2 linked regions of the Caenorhabditis elegans genome follow. The protein of the gene in region 2 interacts with the protein of the main gene of each other region in a pairwise test. Each region holds a gene or a part of one and is shown on either strand. Other genes may lie near its edges.

Region 1 (5,793 bases), about 12 Mb from region 2:
AGTTTGGGTTTTTTATTCCCGTAATCCATCATATTACATTGACCACTTTTACCGCTACTTGCCGACTGAATTCACAATTTTTTTCATCTGGAAATTATTTTAGCATTAACAAAAATATTTATTTATCAGTTTTAATAAGAAAACACGGGAAAAATCGGTGAAAAACACAAGAAAACAAAGCAAGTACAAAATGTCGTAAAATGCGGTGTATTGTGTGCAAACACCGATTTTTCGCATTTTTTCTCGGCCCTCGTTCGAAAAAAGTTGCAGTGATCTGGCATATCATTCAATACTGAATCAAAATAATGCACATCTTAAGTGATGTTAATGAAACAGTCAAAAATTTGAATTCTCAAAATCAGATCAACTTTTAATTTTTCGCTTTCAACGCCCATAAAAACTTTATGTTTCCCTGTTTCAAATAACGTTAAAGTATTTTCAACTTTTTCCGTATTCTATTCTGTACGGCCAGATCAAATCCCATGTTCAAACTTCAATACATGTAAAAAATTCTCGCTGTTAATATAATTTTATTTCAAATCCACAAAAAGAAAAAAAACCAATTAACCAACAGTAACAATAGGATCTGTATAAAACTGTGCTCCTCTCTTCGTCGTCAACTTGTCCGCCATCTGAGAAGCCAACATCTTCCACTGGCTCTCATAAATTGCAGAAATCGCGGTCACTTGAACGGTCAAAGGGACAACAAACGGACTTTTCGCGTATTTTCCATCGGTTCCAGCCTTCGCTGCACACTTATAGTAGACTGTGGATTGTTGTAGAACACCGTAACCCGCGGTGTCGGCGGTGCACTCGGTTACTGTAGTAAGTGTGACGTTTGGAGGCGAGAATGTGATGACTGGTGGGTTTATGTCGTTTAGGGGGATACTGTTGGCTTGCAATACGTCGTTGATCTGAATTTTTTGAATTTTTAAACTTTTTTGGTATTGTATAGTGTTTTTAGTGTTTTAGCGCTCTACTTGGTTCCATTATTATACAAGTTTTGAGCAGATAATTTTTTTTGGTTCGTATGGACAAATTTTAGCAAGCTCTCCGAAATATAATCTGGTAAATGAAATATTTGAAACAGTTTTTTTTTGATAATGGGTATAAATACTTTGTGGCTTATTTTGAAACTTAATGTTTCAGACTTATTTATCTTTAAAAAAGAATTCAAAAGATCGACAAACGAATTAATTTTATACAACCTGAAAAATGAAATATTTGAAACAGTTTTTTTTTATTGATAATGGGTATAAATATCAGGTTGTCCCATAAGTTTTTGTACTATTTTTTTTTTTGAAAAAAATTTATTTCTCTCAAGCGACAAGTAGTACTATTCACACAAGTATTCACCATTAGTGTCCACCACTTGTTGCCATTTACTAGGTAACATCATGATGCCACGGGAGAAGAAATCCGGCGAACGCGATGAGAAGAAAGTGGAGAGTTCAGTTTTGAGATGCTCTTCGTCGTCGAATTGCTTGTCGCGCATGTAGTCACTGAGAGACAAGAACAAATGGTAGTCGGTTGGTGCAAGATCTGGAGAATATGGTGGATGCGGTAAAACAGTCCAACCAAGATCTTGCAGCTTTTGGAAAGTCTTCTTGGCGACATGAGGCATAGCATTATCGTGAAGAAAATATAGTTTTTCATATTTTCCGTTGGTCTTTTCTGCAACTCGGTCCAATTGGGCACAATAGTAATCAGCAGTGATAGTTTTATTAGTTGGCAACAATTCCCAGTGCACGGGTCCTTGAACACCCCACCAGACACAGATCATTATCTTTTTTGGGTGAAGATCAGGCTTTGGCGTCGGTATTCCTTTCTCACCGATCGGAAGCCATTGACGTTTTCTGGAATGGTTAACATAGAGCACCCACTTCTCATCTCCAGTAACCAGATTGTTCAGCCAATCGAACTTTCGACGAAAAGTTAGAAGTTGAGTACAAACGTTGACCCGAGTGAGCTTCTGTGATGCCGAAAGTTCATGAGGCACCCAAATTCCAAGTTTTGAAGTAAAACCAAGGCGACCCAAGTGACGTGCAATTGTGCTATGACAACACTCAAGCTTCTCTTCCATTTCACGAAGACTAAGACGAGGCTCTTCCTCCACCAGCTTCACTAGGTCTTCTTCATTTAACTCTACCGGTCGCCCAGAACGTTCTATTTCTTCGAGACTGAAGTCGCCGTTCTTGAACTTTTGAAACCAACTCTTTGCTGTATTATAAGAGAGTGCTCCCTCACCCATCGCACCGCATATGTTTCGTTCCGCTTTCATTGCTGAATGACCAAGACGAAATTCATAAAGAAGAAGCAATCTAACGTCTCGACGTTCAAGTTTGATGATTGTCATCGTGGCAAAGTAGAAATGGATGAAATGAATCTTTTCTGGAAGGGGACGACCCGACCTTGACACGACCTACGATGAAAAAATTTTAAAACTTTCTAGAAGTTTTGGAAAAATATTTGAAAAAAAGTACAAAAACTTATGGGACAACCTGATACTTTGTGGTTTATTTCAAAAATTAATGTTTCAGATTGTTATCTCTAAAAAAAATAATTCAAAAGTGATAACAAAATAGATTTAGTGGTAGGTAGACACATCTCTAGGCTCTTCTCTTTCAGCATACTTTTTTCAGTCATTTCTCCGCTCAAAATGTGCGAACAACACAGCCATTTGCGGTAACGAAAACACCCCAACCAGCTCTCCGAAACCGGGCTGCGATGTCCGAGCGGTTAAGGAGTTGGACTTGAAATCCAATGGGCATTGCCCGCGTAGGTTCAAATCCTGCTCGCAGCGAATACTTTTTGGAAAATATTCCGAATTAAATCTACAGGCTTTTAAATAAATTTTTTAACTCATTGACCGCGCACCTAGTATGTCGCTTTTGAGTGATTTATCAGTTTCTAGGAGAGAACAGAATTATTTCGATTATTTGCAATTGGCTATATCAGTATAGTGAAACAGTGAGAATTTTTTGTGTTAACACAATGAAAATAGAAAGATTGTAATATAATCATGCATTTGTACTATAGAATATAACATGTTTCTACAAAATAAATTTTCAATAAAACGTAAAAATTTTATTTGTAAAAAAGTATGTTTTATAATATTCTTATTAGCTCACTGTTATCTTACTAGGGAGTGTTTCAACTCTACGGTGCCTAAAAAGTTATTATTATTGTTTTCGTCAAAAAAAAAATTGCCTCCGAATTTTATGGCCCACTTATGGGTTTTTTTTCAATTATTGTAGAGATTGGAATATGCTATACTTTTCTTTAAAAGTGGCAAAAACGTAGTAATTGGCACTTTTCGAAAAAAAAAAGAAAATTTCAATAAAATTTTTAATGTTTCAAAAGTATTTCATTAAACTTTTTATGAATCGCTTTTTATTGAATAGGCTGGCTTGATGGAAATTAAGAAAATATATGGCTTTTCATCAAAACTAGACTAGAATTTATAAAGCTTCTGAGAATTTCAAATTTTTTTCAAATAATAATGCAACCGTTAAACATTATGCGATGTGTTGCCATTTCACATTCTTTTATAAATTTGGCAAAATTATCCACCACCATAGTTGGACATTTAATAATTGGACTTTTAATAAATGCAATTATACGAACTCCAAAGAAAACTGTAGCTGTTCATAAAAATTTTGTGAAACAGTAGAAATTTTTTCTGTATTGGGATTTTTATTTAAAATTGCATTTAACTCACCGCACTCTGCACATCCGACACCACAACTCGCTGAGCATAGGCTTGATCAAACTGTCCGTTTTCAAATTCTGCTAGAGAATCATAGGTGTATAGAGCAGGAGGGTTCATTTCATAGCTGAATGTTCCCTTGGAGCCCAGCGTTCCGGTACCCGGAGCACAGGCTCCGGCTGTGGAGATGAAAAAGCAGAGGAGCAGTAGAATTTTAAGCATTTTGAAGGTTCAAATCACAAAAGTTAAAAGTGAAGTTTAAACCTTACCTCAATCCTTTTTTATACCGTTTCCTTAACCTTTGCCCCACAATAGCTTATGTTTGTTTCGATTTGCCAAAAATGTTTATATTTGTCATAGTTATGGCATCATTTTATTACTGATTGTTAACACTTTTTCTTGTGGGTGGGTGTGCCAACAGTAAGAATAGGTAAAGCATACTAAGCGGGGGTAAAAGGGAACTCGTAAAAATTTGAAACCCAAAGATCGAAAAATTGTCAAACAGCCGTTACTAAAATTTGTTTGAAGGCTGAAACTGAATTTTTTTTTTGTTGCAAATTTTGAAGATTTTGTTCCTGGATTCGATTTGAAAACTTTAAATACAATGAAAATCCAAAAATAGGTGGAGCCTATTATTGATTATACTTTTATCGGAAGCTTCTGGTTTAATTTTAAATTGTTTTACACGTTTGAAAGCGGATCACTATCAGAAATAGATCAAAATGTGATGAAAAGTTTTATACGCACGCGGTGAAACGGTAAATTTCGAAATTCAGATTTTTCGATTTCTTATCAATTTTTAAAGTCATTGATGGAGGAGTAGCGCCAGTGGGGATATCATTTAAAAAAACACTCCAAAAAACTCAAATTTTTTACAACTTCCAGTCAAAGTTTTGGCAAAAAAAATTGTAGGAAGTTTTTTTTTGATCGACTTATAAAATTATGAGTGGCAAAATTTGAGTAATAGTCACTTTTTACAGTGAATTTTTAAAAATCCAATTTTTTTTCAAAAAGTTTTACCTTTAAAAAAATGTAGATGCTTTCTTTTAAACCATTGTGTTACTATTAGATTTTTTTCCTATAACAAGACAGTTTTCTGTAAAAACCACCATAGTCACTATTCCAACTTAAGAGGTTTTGCTTACATTTGACTACTTCTGGCAGATATTAATTTCCTGGTTACGTTTCAATTTTTTTAATTACCAAAATACAATTTGAGCGTATGAATAAAACCCAATTTACAAAGAGTATAATAAAAGCATGTTGAAACAATAAAAATTTTAGAAAATTTTTTTTTTCCGAAAAGCGCCAATTATTAAGTTTTTGCCACTTTTAAAGAAAACTATCCCTAAAATAATTGAATATTACCGTTTGAAACATAAAATTCGGAGGAAAACATTTTTTTTTCAACGATTTCCAAATAAGTGCCTAACAGAATGGTTGCCATTTTTGAAATAAAATAAACAACATTTTCAAAAAAAGTTTTGAATAGTTTTACTTTTTTTGAATTTAATGTTTTAAATTAATTGTTTTGAATCATATCATTGAAATTTTAAGATCTTTCTCATGAAAAAGTTCTGAAATAATAACTAAAATATCAGTGACGCAATATAAATATTGTGAAACATAATTTTTATAAGTACAATTTTTCTGTAGAATTGTTGTATTCCATAGTACAAATCATGATTATATTTGCCTTACAACCATTCTCGCTACATTGTGTTAACACAAAAAATTTCTGACTGTGTCACTATGCTGATATAGGCAACTGCAAATAATCTGAATGGACACGATTTAAAAATATTTTTTATTTAAAACAATTTCAAATAACTGATAAATCGATTTAACGCAATAGGTTAATGTTCGGTGCGGTCACTACTCCAACTTAAGAGATTTTGCCCAAATTTGATTATTAGGTCGTTCAATAAGTTTTTTCGTTTTTTTCTAGTTTTGGTTTTTTCTTGGATAATATTTTGCGGTTGTATAGAAGACTGTTAGTAATAACAAGCCCAACAATATCAGCCATATCGGTCAACTTCCAGATTATTTAAAACTCAGAACTATGATGACGAAAAAAAAATTTT
Region 2 (5,683 bases):
TTGTGATTTTGCAATATTTGAAAATTGCGTCAAAATATGGACTGTGAGCTGCTAAAATGTTTCGATGAGCCGCAAATGATTTGTTTTGAACAACAATTTCCACATCACAAAATCGGCCGGTTTTTCGTTGATATTGTAATCGTTGGAACACTGAAAAATAAAAGTTAATTTAATTATCAAGCCAAGATTGAATTAAATACAAAACTCTTACACATATGACTGGTTTGCCCAGAACTATCATCAAATGTCATTGGACAGAGCCCTGTGTTTTCGGAACTAGCTACTAATGTCATCTGAAATTAAATTGAAATAATTTTCATTGCGATTTTATAATTTATTCGATGGGAAACTCACATTTTATCGAGGAAGACGTCAATAAACTTAGAATAAATGCTCCGATTCAAATCGGGTGAGGAGTGTGCAGACGCGCTCTACTGAACAATCTAAAAGATTATCGATTTGCAAATATTATTTCAATGGATTTTTAACGATAGTTATATATTTAACGAAATTCAAATTTTATTCGAGATTTCAAAAAAAGAAAATATATATCTGAGCATAACGACACATAAAAAATTTAAAACTGAGCGAAATTCCAATTTGTAACATATTTTAACAACGAATTAAAGCTGATGTAGACATTGTTCTAATCGGCGTTTTTTTAATGAATTAACAATATAAGTTAGTAATAATTCAAGAAAGAAAAAATAAATAATTAATCATCAGGAACCGGCGTTTCAATTCTAGAACCATTCTCGTATTCTCCATATGGTGTTCTATAAAATTGAATGACTTTCACAACGAAATCATTCACTTGTTCGTCTTCTTCTTCGTATTCTCCAAAACACGGAACGCCATTATTGTGAATTGTAGACTCAAAATCTTTGTACTTTGTATCGCTTTTATTCTCCAGAACAATCAACATCGGAGTAACAATTTCAGACGCATGTGAGACCGGCTCCACGTCTTTCAGAAATTCAGCTTCAGGGTTTTCTGTATCAACTGCACACGTTGTGAATGGAAATTCGAGCATCGGCCGTACGAGTGCACATCCTTTATAGAATTTCTGAAAATAGTGAATTAAAAAATATGAAAATCCATGAGACGCTAAATTTTGTGATTTTCGTGCCAAAAATAGAAAAATATCGGGGTAACGACACGACATTTTTTGAAAGTTAAAGGTGGAGTACCGAAATCAGAGACTTTGTTTTTTTTTAACTATAATGTCGCAAAACTGACGGATCTATCAATAAAACTTTCAAAATATTTCTGAAGAAAACATGTCGTGTCGAAACCGGGTATTGTATTTTTCACCAAAAATCGCAGAATCTCGCGTCGATGTAATATCCCACCTTATGTTTGATAATCAGACTACACGCCACAAAAGATCCAAATTCAAATCCATACAAGTAAATATATTTTTCATCTAACCGCGCTCCGTGTCTCTCGAGAACTTCTAGTACAGTTTCCTGTAAAAAAAATCATAAAATGAGGAAAAAAACGAACGATTCTCTACATGAACATCATTAATACATTCCGAACCACAATTCTTTGGAAAGCAGGTTCCTGGAATTGCTATAAATGGCTCCCGATAGTTTACAACTAGCACACAGAAGCCACAAGTTACCATTGTAGAGAGCACAGGGTCAACGGTACTGAAAATTTAAATTTAATTTTAAATTTATAAATCAATTCTTTATAAACAGGGAAAATTGCTATTTGAACATTTTTAAATTAAAAAAATAAAGATAGAAAATTGCGGTTGAAATTGAAAGCTCGATCCGTGAATTTTGCAATTCTTTCGATGCTTTTTTTGTTGATTTTTCAATAAATTTTGAGTCTAAAGAAAAAAAATCTACCTAACGGTGAAATTAGGTTCTAATCCGGAAAAGGGGACCACGACCAGCGGGAACTTCGATCCGGGAGAAACACATTCCGGCAACATGTAGAGTATCGCAGAATTGCCAATTTTTTGAAAACTCATTGGATAAATGTGAAAATTGTGAATCGTATCGTTTTCTGGCTTGTGTGTGCATAACAGCGATGCCGTGAATTTACCATCACTTTGTGAGCCCAATTGAGAATGCCAAAGACGAGAATAAGCGTTTGCTGTGATCGTTTCAAAAAGGAATTCATCGCCTCGAACATCAATAATTAGTGAAGGCCGTTTCAAGTCAAGGCACGTGGTTCTTAAACTTTCAACGTGAATCGCCAAATTATTCTGGAAATAAATTTATTTTAATGCAGAATTAAATCGAATATATTTGTTACCACTTGATTCTTGTAATTCGTGTTAAACAATAAATGCTTTCCATTGCAAGCCCACGGCCTATCGGGAACGCTCCATACTTTCGATTTTCCTAGTCTCAGCACGTCATGTCTCACTTGGACGGCAGCTTTTACAAATGGGTAATGGAACTGAAAACGAAGAAAATTAGTTTTGTTTAAGGAGAACAGTTTTGGGTATTTATAGATACAAAATCTGCCAAAAAAGAACTAATTTCTGAAAAATTAGCAAATTTTTAGCTAAACCTACCATCTTTTCAATTTTAATGTGGAAATTAATTTTTATTCGATTATCGGCCTATATTGCATATATTTATAGCTTATCTCACGTTTTTTCGGTAATTTTGACATATTTAAAGCCGAAAGGTAGCCAAAAGTGACCAAAACACGTGCGGTAAACTACCAAAATTTGCAATAAATGATGATAATTAAGTAAAAATCAATTTTAGACAGCTGCGACTTAGATTTGAGATTTTAGCTAAAATTCGATTATTTTCGATATATTTTTTGTTCATTTAGGCACATTTTGTGTCTAGTCTACTTTTGAATTTCCTATATCTAACCAAAATAATATCAGCATCATTGTGAATATTCGGTCGTAGAAATACAGCCATTCGACTTTCATCTGGCGAGAAAGTAATCCTCAACGGAGCCGATAGATTCGTTGATATTTCATTTATATATTTCTCTCCAAATCTGTGCCAGAGAAGGTCTTGTCCTCGATGAAATACGATTCCCCGACCATCAGGCGTCCATTCGACTGCTGTGATCGTCTGATTACAAATATTCTCATCAGTGATTACTGTAACTCCTTTCGCATCGAAATCGAAGATGCATATCACAAATTGGCGCTCACCACGTCCCTGCGTTTCCTTTTGTTCTTCATTTGGTAGTGCAAAGTAGAGCAATTTTTTATTATTTCGAGAAAGTTTGAAATGAGCATTTGGTCCTGTCACAATAATAGGTCCATGATATACGTATTTAACTAGAGCTACCGTGAATTTTGCCTTCTTATATTGAACATCTTCTACTTGAATAACATCCTTATCGTGACCCATTTCTATGGATTCTGCTACGAATACGCAGACTTTACAATCATCCGAAAATATATGGGTGAAGTATTTCCAATCTTTATCCGTTTCCGTTTCCATTAACATCCAAAGTTTATTCCTCGACACTAATCCACGTGATCTCATGTATTGCCGTTGATCTGGGCACTCTAATGTCTCGTAAATGACCCAAACTTCTTGTGGTTCGTAATCGGAAGGAGTTGTGATACGTGCAGTATTCACCCGGAACTGAAGCATTTGTTGTGAGATTGTGACAAAAGCTTCATGCATTTGACGAGTGGCCAACGGGACCTCCTCGTCTGTAGACATTATAGTTGTACACGTATATGATGAAGCTGCTAAATATTGACTGCCTGTAAGAAATGTAAGAAATCTCTAGGAATTTCAGATGTTCAATTTAGAAATTCCACTAGAAATAATTAAAAATGGGAAAACCAAAACCGTTGAAAAACTGAAATCCTCCAGAATATACAAACCGTTCATATATAAGAGATTTACAAGGCAATATCACGGGAAAATGAATGAAAAAATACCGGGGGCAGGAAAAGAAGCAGCCGATGAATAGATAAATACATATAGACATTAGTATATTTACTGAGACAGTGATTTCTCGAACCAGCGGACCATGTTGATTGCATAGTCGGCCTCAACGTTGACCTCATCAAGTGGATGGTTCGATGGTGGGTAGGTGAGAACCCTGAAAAAAAAAACAATTTCTCTTGCAAACAATTTTTCAAGAATACCTTGCCGGAACTCCACGAGCCTTGAGAGCACGAATAAATGCTCTGTAGTGAGGAACGACACGAAGATCCTTTTCACCAATGAGCAAGAGATACGGAGTAGTTGCGTTCTCCACATGAGCAATTGGCGAAGAGTTGAACATTTTCTCCCGTTGTTCGGTGGTCGTGATCTTTGTCCAGTCTGGATATTCTCCGGTTCCCTCGAAATAGCACCATTCAGGAATATCAGTGATATCATGCATTGTGGCAATGTTGACGACTGGATTCAAGGCAACACAACTTTTGTAGAATCCTGGATATTGTCCAATTAAATGAGACACCAGGAACCCTCCATGAGATCCTCCGAAGAGTACAACCTTGTCTCGAGAAATACGTGGATTCTTATCCAAGACGGTGAGAACTGCGTTCTGAATTAGTATTAATTACATTGATAATACATGCGGTGTAGTCGAATAAACGTTCTAAATTCTTTGACAAAACGATATGCAAAACAGCACAAGAATGTCTAAAACGGATGTTTAAAGGCTTCAAACTACCGAAAATCATTATCGTTGTTTAAATTTCGCGCGTAAATGTGTTTCATGGATTTTCAGCGGATAGATTTATTCATTTTTTGAATCTAAAAACGATTTTTCGTATTATTTTTGACTTTTGTTAAAAGTTTTGTCAGAAAACATTTAAATTTTCAATATAAAAACACGAAAAATCGACTAAATTCCAGAAAAATAAATTAATCGGTAAGTGGGTTAATTTTTGCGCGAAATTCAAGTTATTCGGGCGAAGAGGTTGATTTTCGGAACTTTGAAGCTTTATAACATCCGGTTGAGTCTTGCCATAACACAGAGAAAGTTTTAAAAAAATGTTCTCCTTACATGAACATCCTTAACATCCATATCTCCGCAGTTTCCAGGCAGAGCACGAATAAAATCGTCACCAAATCCGAGTGATCCACGGAAATTGACTTGAAGGACGGCATATCCAGAGTTGAGAAGAGTAGTAAGATCCCGACGTGGCCAGCTGAACTTTTAAATGAAAAACGTTTAAAAAAGGGAAAAAGTAACTCACCTTGCCATGGATGCACCATGAGGTCCACCATGGGGATTCACAACCATTGGAAGATTGTTTCCCTCATTTGGAACAATCAGAATTCCTTCGTAAGTCGCTCCGTCACGCTCAAGATTCACAAATTCCCAGGAGAACTCGAAGAGATGACGACGTTTATCAACAGCCTTCGCCTCGTCGATTCGCACCCAAACCATTTCCTCGGCTTTTCCTGTCCCTGGAAGTTGTCCCAGAAGAACGTTTGGTGGGCGATTCGGAGCAGAGACGACTGCGAGCACTTCGTTATCATAGACATCAAGAAGAGACCAAGTTCCAAGGCATATGGAGTGATTGGTTAATTTTTCAATGTTCCCAGTTGCGATGTTAACGGAAAGCAGTTCCAACTTGCTGCACCAGGAACTTGAAAGGATAAGACGCTTGGAATCAGTAGACCAAGAACGAGTTGCTGTCTGTAAATATTGATTTTTGAAAAATCGGTAATTATATTGCCTTATATTCTGTCCCTTCCTCATGTACATATCGAAA

The links. Proteins that work in one complex are often made in the same cells at the same time.
Region 1: the proteins of dpf-7 (region 2) and Y51H4A.8 interact in a two-hybrid assay, tested with the Caenorhabditis elegans proteins (one large-scale study listed by BioGRID).

The regions. Positions count from the first base shown.
Region 1 is NC_003282.8:16,574,585-16,580,377, forward strand, and holds Y51H4A.8 (DUF4136 domain-containing protein), read right to left. Parts: upstream 3,966-5,793; 5' UTR 3,932-3,965; coding exon 3,722-3,931; intron 3,626-3,721; exon of another isoform or gene 3,605-3,625; intron 3,419-3,604; exon of another isoform or gene 3,397-3,418; intron 3,174-3,396; exon of another isoform or gene 3,150-3,173; intron 2,927-3,149; exon of another isoform or gene 2,905-2,926; intron 2,804-2,904; exon of another isoform or gene 2,722-2,803; intron 1,189-2,721; exon of another isoform or gene 1,168-1,188; intron 1,045-1,167; exon of another isoform or gene 1,024-1,044; intron 915-1,023; coding exon 564-914; 3' UTR 510-563; downstream 1-509.
Region 2 is NC_003282.8:4,798,884-4,804,566, forward strand, and holds dpf-7 (Dipeptidyl Peptidase Four (IV) family), read right to left. Parts: upstream 3,710-5,683; 5' UTR 3,666-3,709; coding exon 2,850-3,665; intron 2,419-2,849; coding exon 2,272-2,418; intron 2,222-2,271; coding exon 1,860-2,221; intron 1,656-1,859; coding exon 1,517-1,655; intron 1,470-1,516; coding exon 1,353-1,469; intron 1,067-1,352; coding exon 716-1,066; 3' UTR 501-715; downstream 1-500. Other genes in the region: eor-1 (Zinc finger protein), read right to left, coding at 1-150, 212-293; dpf-5 (acylaminoacyl-peptidase), read right to left, coding at 3,948-4,053, 4,100-4,503, 4,969-5,113, 5,162-5,607.